Linked DNA regions of Sus scrofa. The protein of the gene in region 1 interacts with the protein of each later gene in a pairwise test. Links are inferred from orthologs where the notes say so. Each region holds a gene or a part of one and is shown on either strand. Other genes may lie near its edges.

Evidence for each region. The genes of interacting proteins can lie anywhere in the genome.
Region 2: the proteins of CARD9 (region 1) and FAM208B interact in binary tests that used the Homo sapiens proteins (3 or more experiments, as listed by UniProt). The two-hybrid records come from large-scale screens. The link is inferred for Sus scrofa from reciprocal best matches to the Homo sapiens genes CARD9 and TASOR2.

The regions. Positions count from the first base shown.
Region 1 is NW_018084833.1:1,342,178-1,346,288, reverse strand, and holds the start of CARD9 (caspase recruitment domain-containing protein 9), read right to left. Parts: upstream 2,857-4,111; 5' UTR 2,307-2,856; coding exon 1,963-2,306; intron 1,649-1,962; coding exon 1,449-1,648; intron 1,167-1,448; coding exon 1,029-1,166; intron 477-1,028; coding exon 172-476; intron 94-171; coding exon 1-93. UniProt on the Homo sapiens protein: Adapter protein that plays a key role in innate immune response against fungi by forming signaling complexes downstream of C-type lectin receptors.
Region 2 is NC_010452.4:65,205,887-65,209,531, forward strand, and holds part of FAM208B (protein FAM208B), read right to left. Parts: coding exon 1,239-3,645; intron 1-1,238.

The sequences.
Region 1 (4,111 bases):
CTGCTCCATGGCGTGCCGGAGCTTCAGCGTGTGCTTGCGCTCCACCGAGCAGTCGTCCTCGGCCTTCATGAGGCTGTGCTTGAGCCGATCGATCTGCGGGGCCGCCCGTCAGCCCAGCCCGGGGGCCCGCCGCCCGCCCGCCGCCCGCCCGGCCGCCCCGCCGCCAGGCACCTCCAGCTGCAGGTCTCGGTTGCGCATGAGCGCGGTGCCCCTCTCCTCGCTCTGACGGGCCAGGCGCAGGGCCAGGTCGTAGTTCTCGTCCTTGCAGCGCTGGAGCTCGCGGCCGCCGGCCTCGCAGGCCTCCTTGAGCCTCTGCGCGCGCTCCTGGTGCTTGCGCAGCAGGCCGTCCTTCACGCGCAGCTCCTTGATGAGGTCGTCCTTGGAGCCCAGCAGCGCCGTCAGGTCCTGCGCCTTCTTCTGCAGCTTCATCACCTCGCTCATCAGCAGCTGCGTCAGGCCGGACTCCCCAGACGCGTCTGCGGACCGGGCCTCATCAGACGGCGCGCCCAGCAGCCCAGCATCTCGCGCGGCTCCAGGACCGGCGGCCCGGGGAGCCCGGCCCAGGGGTCTGGTCCTGACTCACCTGCAGGCCCCGTCCCCAGCCCCTCCCAGGACGGTGCAGCCAGGGGCTCACGTGTCCCTCCCTCTTTGTCCACTTTGGTCATCTTGATTGAGAGGCGAGGGGACACGACTCAGGACCAGGAGAGCGGCACCTCTCCGGCTGCCGCGGCCTCTCGGGAGCAGGGTTTTAGTGGGGTCAGGTGGTCTTCTGGGCAGGGGGGCTCTGAGCCAAGAATCAGCCTGTGCCTCCCCTCCCCCTGCTCCCGCCCTGGAGTTCAGGTCCCCCTTCCCTCCGGCCCCTGCCCCCTCCCCGGGCTGCAGCAGGAGAGCGGGCGGGCGGGCCCCAGGCGGGCGGTATCCTTCCGCCAGAGCGCATGCACGCTTTATCCGTTAGGGGCCCAGGTCAGGGGGGCGCCCCGGCCCCTGAGTCCGGGCCCTGGGTCCCCAGGCCCGGTGCCCTTCCTCACCAATGATGACGGAGAAGACGCGGGTGGGCTCCTTGCCCGTGACCTTCTTGTAGAGCTGCGGGTAGTAGAGCTCCAGGCTCTCGAGGAAGGCCACGTAGCCCTTGTGGCCGGTGCGTTGCAGGATGTCCAGGAGCACGCCTGCAACCCAGATGGGCCTGGCTGGGGGCCGGGGCGGCCGGCGTCCCCAGGCACGCGTGTGGCCCCTCGAGGCCCCGCGGGGTGGCCGCAGAGTGGGTCTGGGCCAGTCCCCATCGGCCACCCACCTCGTGTGGCTCTCCCAGGGGCCTCTGCTGTGCATGGCGGCGCCCCGGCCGCAGGCAGACAGGTTGGTGATGGGGGGGGCGGGGCGGGGGCCGAGCCGGCCAGGCCTCCCGGGGACAGGGACGAGCGTGGGCAGAGCCCGCCGCCCACGGCACTGACCCACTTTCCGCTTGCGGATGACCAGGCTGGGGTCACTGAGCACCTGCTCCTCGTCGTCGGGGCTCAGGACCTTGCACTGGCGCAGGTAGGGCGTGATGCGGGCGGGGTCGATGACGGAGATGAGCTTCACGCGGAAGCCCTCCAGGCCGCTCCAGCACTCGTCCTCGTTCTCGTAGTCGGACATGGTGCGGGCGGGCGCACTGCTCCGAGAGAGGGCCCGTCAACTGGCCCGCCGCCCTGCCCTGCCCTGCCCCCGCCCTCTGGCCGCTCTGGGCTTCCTCTCCCCCGCCCCCGTCACCCTGGGCCCCTGCCCCACGCTACCCCCCCAGCCTGTGCCCAGGGAGAATCCCCCTCCCCGAGCATTGTGGGCGGGCAGGGAGGCTGCCTCCCTCCCTGGAGGTGAGGGGGCAGCAGGAGCTGTTTGGGCCGAGCGCTGGCACAACCTCCCCGGCAGATGAGGGAGGGGTCCCGGTCCACCCCCGGCCAGCCCGCGCCCGGCTGGGGCGCCCCCCACCTGCGGGCGGCAGGCCATGCCACGCGGGACTTCCTCATTCCCCCGCACATCCACTCCCATCCCTTCCTCTGCTTCCTGTGGCTGGTGATGCAACAGTTGCCCAGCTGGCCCGCTCCGGTCAGGCCCAGGGACGTGGTGCCCTCCAGGAAGCGTGACTGAGAGCAGCCCACCGGAGGGCCCTGGGCACATGGGGAGGGCCCAGCTGTGTCGCCCAGGCAGCCCAGGACGCGGCTGCGCGCCTCCTCCAGGCTCTGGGTGCTGGGCACTAGCTGGCCCCGGGCTCTCCCCATCTCCTCGGCCACAGTGCTGAGCACGGGGATGCTGGCTCCCTGACAGGGGACCATCTACGTGGAAGCTGCTCTCTGCTAGCCCTTCCAGCAGCGGGTGGGCAGGGACCACGCTCTGGGGCGGGCTGAGCAGGAGCAGCCATGTGGCCATGCCTCCTCCTGGGGGAGAGGGGTCGGGGGGCACAGAGACCCCGCCTCAACACCTGGGACTGAGCCTGTAACCTGCCTGGGAAACACCGGCTCCCGGGCCACGGGGGCTGGGGCACGGTCCCAGAGGCCGTGGTATCCCAGAGGCCGTGGCTGTGGGTCCCACCGCCCTCGGCCCGCCCGCCTAGCGACAGGCGCGGCGTCCAGAGGAATCACCAGCACCTTGGTGGCCGGTCTCTGGACCTGGCCTGTTGCGGCCTTTCTAGCCTCAAGTCCACAGCACCCACGCCTGACGATGACCTGCTGTGCATTCCACCGAAGCGACCGTGCCAGGTGGCTGCGAGGGGGACGGGGCAGCAGAGGTGAGGCCGTTTGGTGCCCTTCTGGGGTGTTCACGCCAGATCCCTCTCCCTGTCCCAAGAGTCCTGAGCCACCTGGGCTTGCCGCCGCCTTTCCGAAAGGGCACCAGACCAGCCTACCTTGGGGTCCTCCTGAGGCACCTGTGCAGTGGCCGGTCGCCGGCCAGCCTGGGCCGCCAAGCCGGTGTGTGAGCGGTGGGAGCTGCCGCGGCTGCCGGCCAGGGAGGGTGGGGCGGGAGGGAGCGCACTTCCTGGCGTTAACCCCGCAGGGACCATCCCTGCGGCCGCTGCTGATTCGCCCGAGCAGGGCGGCCTGGGGGGCGGGGGAGGGAAGTGGAAGTGGCTCCCCAGGAAGGCTGCCCAGAGCCCTGCCAGCCAGCGCAGGGCTGGCCGCGGGGCCCAGGGCCCGCCCTGGAGGCCCAGCCCTGACCCTGAGGAGTGGGGAGTGCGAGCCAAGGCTTGACAGAGCTCGAGCCCCTGCTGGCCCACTTTGGTCCCAGGAGGGGGCGGTGTGGTGTCCCAAAACAGGGCCCCGGGCACAGGCGCCCCGCAGCACACTGGCCTGCTGTGGCTGGCACGGCCCCGCCCCTCCTGGGACCACCCCTTCTCCACCAGGACACATGACAGTGACAGCAGCCCCCCACCCCAGCACTTCAGAAGGGCTGCAGAAGGCCGGGCAAAGCCTGGAGCCCAGCCCTGGCTGCCAGCTGCACCCTGGCCAGGTTGGGGAATCCCCAGGCCACCGCGCTGCCCGGGGAGCTTTGCCAGTTGAACCGAGCTGCCAGCTTCAGCTCCGCGAAGGGGCTGCGGCTGGACGGGCTGGATGGGAGCCTGGCCGGTGCTCCCGGCTCCCCCTTCCTGAGGAGCTTCCCTCCCGCCTGGCCAGCTCCCTTCCTGTGGGGTCTCACGCCTCAGGCCGTGTGGGGGCTTCTCTGCCTTCTGCCCAGGATGGTCAGCGGGCCACTTCGCAGAAACCTTGGGCGTCCCGGCACAGACCTGGCACTGCTGGGTTGCGTGGTGGCCTGGCCTTCCGGGGAGCTGACATCACCCTCTGGGCATGGGGAGCCCCCTGCGGGAGCCGCGAAAGCCAGGTGGGGACTTGGTGCAGGAGACTGAGCCACCGCCTCCTACATGCCCAGCAGGCAGGCTGGTACCGGGCCCTCAACGACCCAGTTCCCGTGGCTTAGAGCTCAGGCAGACGTCGTGTGCTCTGGGCGAGGCAGCAGCCACAGAGACGTCGGGACCCTCACTCAGCATTTGGAAATTGAACAAGAAAACTTAGCCCACAGGTCAGAGGAGGTCGCGAGAAAAACTGGACTCGGTTAACTGAGTCCCGGGTGCAAAGGGACCCCCCGC
Region 2 (3,645 bases), on another chromosome or scaffold:
CAGCACAGCGAGGCTTCAAGGCAAGGCCTGCTGCCCCCTTTCCACCCCATCCTCCGCCCGGCGGAAGAGGCCCCTCTAAGCGCCAGCAAGCGCCCTTCATCTGAGACACCTCCCAGCGCCCCGTGACCCCAGGACGGCCAGCCTCCGAGTGCGTCTGCGGGGCCCTTGCTTGTGCCCTGTGCCCCCGAGCCTTGCCCACCCTTCTGGAAGCCTCCTCAGGCCCTCATGCTTTTCTCCGGTGGCACTGAGACTGACTGGAAGCACTCACGGAGTGACGTGTCCCAGTGACTCTGGAGCAGGAGCCACCAGGGGCCGCAGTGCGGTCCTGGCTCCAGGCCCTCCGAATGCACCGTGGTGGGGACTGTCACGCCCGCGATGGCGCAGATGCCATGAGCAGCTTCAGGTGTCTGATGTTACTCAGCAGCTCGGCGTTGACAGTTTGATCGTGGGCCACGTTTGTCACCCGACAGCCACCCTGGACTTGAGCCGGGGCTTGCACAAACGCTTCCTCGTCTGGCCATCACCACTGCAGACGCGAGGCCGGCGTCCCTCTCGGTGCTGCCCTGTACCTGCCTCGGCACCTGCCAGAGCTGGGCGCTCATCTCTAATGTCCCTTTTCTCGTGTCCCTCTTATCCCGAGACCCGAGACAAGCACAGAAAGGGGTCCTCACACGTCCACTTGGGAAGGACGCTCAGGTCCCCTCAACTACACTAATGGGTGAGCACAGGGAGGAATTTTTTTTGGGCTTTTTAGAGCTGCACCCGCGGCCTATGGAGGCTCCCAGGCTAGGGGTCGAATCGGAGCTACAGCTGCCGGCCTACACCACAGCCACAGCCACACGAGATCCTCAGGTCAGTACGCGAGGCCAGGGTTCACACCCACACCCTCACGGACACGTGTCAGGCTTGCTTCCGCTGAGCCATGGTGGGAGCTCCAGGATTAGTGATTAAAACCTGAACCTGCCTCTGGATTCTATTTGTGTCCACCCTGAATACATCTCCCCAAGTGCTGTTTTGTGAAAACAAGGCACCGCATCAGTTTTGAGAAATCACATAAATCTTCCAACAGTGCACACGGCAGACCCTCCAGCCTCTCCTCCAGCCCGGCGCGCACGGAGCTGTGGAGCTCAAGCACCCCCTGGTGCTGGCTTCTTTCTGAAGCTGAGGCTGCTCGGTTCCTTACGAAAAGACTCAGACGCCAAACGGACAGCAGCAGCAGGAGCAGCCCGGCCCTTTACCTTCGTCCTTAGGAAGAACGACTCGTCGGCTGTCTCCACCAGGTGGAAGAGGAAGGTTCTGGCGCAGGCCTCCTTCACCACCCGCTCGAGCTTGACGCGCAGACTGGCGCACAGGTCGGCCACCAGGTCCTCGTAGGAGGCGGGCCGCGGGCAGGGCGGGCCCGGCGCCGGGGCCGCGGCCTCGCTGGGCTCTGGGTCTCGGGGGGCGGCCTGGCTGCCGCTGCCGAGCAGCACCTTGTTGAACTCGGCGAACTCGCTGAGGATGAGCGAGATGTCGCCGCGCGAGTCCTTCCAGGGGCTGTTGTACTTGAGCTTGTGGAGGTGGAGCGCGGCCGCCTGGCTTCCGCCCGAGTTGGGAAGCGGGCTCCTGCCGTGGGCGCCCCGCTCCTTCCAGGACGAAGAGGCCTGGGCCATGCGGTGGGGCGTGTGGCCTCTTGCCCGACGACCCGGGGGTCTGGGGTCCGAGTGCACGACGGTCACCACCAGGGGACTTCGGCTCCGGGAGGCGGGCGCGGGCGCCGGGGCCGCCTTGGGAAAGGCGGGGGCCGAGGGGCCCGACCGCCGGGCGTCTCCGCGCTTCACCATCTGCTTTAGTTTATGCGCAAAACGCAGATATTCCAGATCCAAAGTGCTGCGGGTGAGGTCGGCCGCCCCCGGCCCCGTGTCCGTCCGCAGGCGGAGCGAGGCGCCCTGGGCCACGCCGCCGGGGGCCCGGCTCCGCGCCCGTGTCACCGGGAAGTTGGCGTAGGCGCGGGCCACGCCGCGGAGGTCGCGGACGCGGACGAAAGCGGGCACGCGCCTGGCGGGCTCCAGCCCGGGCAGCCGGCGCGAGCGGCCCCAGTCCTCGTCGTCGTCGCTGTGGCTCAGGCCCAGGAAAGGGTCGTCACTCTCGTCGGAGGCGCCTTTGTCCTCGGCACGCCTACACCGCGGAGCGCAGGAATCCCGGGCGTCTTCCCTGGGTTTCGCACACTCGCCAAGAGAGTCTTGATCCGAGTCTCCGGAAAGTGGCTCATAATGGATGTCAGGATTCGCACGGAGACCCGGGGGCGCAGGGTCCCTCGGGGCCCTCGGCCCCTCACCAGCGCTCTCAGCGCCAGAGACGCCACCACCAAGAGGGGCCCGAGATCCGGGGACAAAGGAGGCAGAAGGCGCTTGCCCGCCGCCCAGGCCGGCGGCCGCCGTGTCGGGGGGCGCATCGGCCCGTGAGCAGGGGGGCAAGGGCCCATGGCCCACCAGGTCCCGGCTTGGGCCCGCGGACCCGGCCCGCAGCCGGTGGAAGGCGGGAGGAGACGGGGGTCTCCACTGCGGACCAGCGCCTCCCAGGTCCACGGAGTCGCCGAGGGTCCCGGCCTCGGGGCCGTTATTCTGCAGCAGCCTGGCCATCCTCACGGCCGAGATCTCCTGCGTCTGCGGCCCTGGCCCCGCGGCTCCGGGGCCCGAGCAGAGGCCGGCTGCCGGCCGCTCCGCGTGGACCAGGCCCCCGGGGCCGGCGGCGCTGTCCACCGAGCCCGAGCGAAGGGACCTGACGAGGATGTAGCAGCGGCCGTCTGTCTTCAGGTCCCCGCCAAGGAGATGCTCCGGGGGCCTCTCGGGGCCGGCCTGCTCCCCCAGGGACAGACTGGCGTCAGCGGGCGCAGCCGCGGAGACAAAGGCCGCAGCCAAAGGCTGAGTTTCCAGAATGTGCCTGGGACTGAGGGGAGGGTCCCTGGAGTCCCAGATGAGGTGACTCACGTGGGGGCTTCTGTCCTCCACCGCCGCTGGCTGCAGGGGACTCCCTGAGGTCGCCTGGTTTCCCGGGGCATCTCTGTACCTGGCAGCCGAGGCAGGCTGCTTCGGCTCTGCGTCCCAGCTCGGTGCCCTTGCGGAGAGGGGGGGACCCTGGTCACGCTCCCCCGGGACAGCTTGCTCAGGGACTGCACCGGGAAGGGCTGAGCACGTCCCTCTCCTCTCGGGGGGACGCCTAAATACCAGAGGCGTTTCAGCAGGAAACGGCACTGGCGGTGCCCGAGGTAAGTTATCTTGTCCCACTGGAGGGGCTGGACCCGCCAAAGAATTGTCTTTTTCTGTTACGGCCATATCGACCGACTCCATCTGGGACGGCGGGTCACCGCTCTCACGCCGCGCCTCAGAGAGCTCCGCGCCGCAGGAGGACACAGCCCTAGCCGTCTGTGCGTCTGTGCCTGGTGCCTGTGGGTCAGGACTGGAAGCTGGTGACACTTCCTCAATCAAAGAACCGAAGGGGAAGTCTAAGGCCACATGCATCTCCTCTGCCACCTCAAGGGCACACGTTTCTTTAGAAAGGACGAAGGTCGCTGTCTGTGAAGTGTCACTGCTCCTGTCCTCATTAGCTGGCGCTCTCACTGACACAGTGCCAGCAGGGTTCACGTCTCTGTCCGCTACTCGAGGC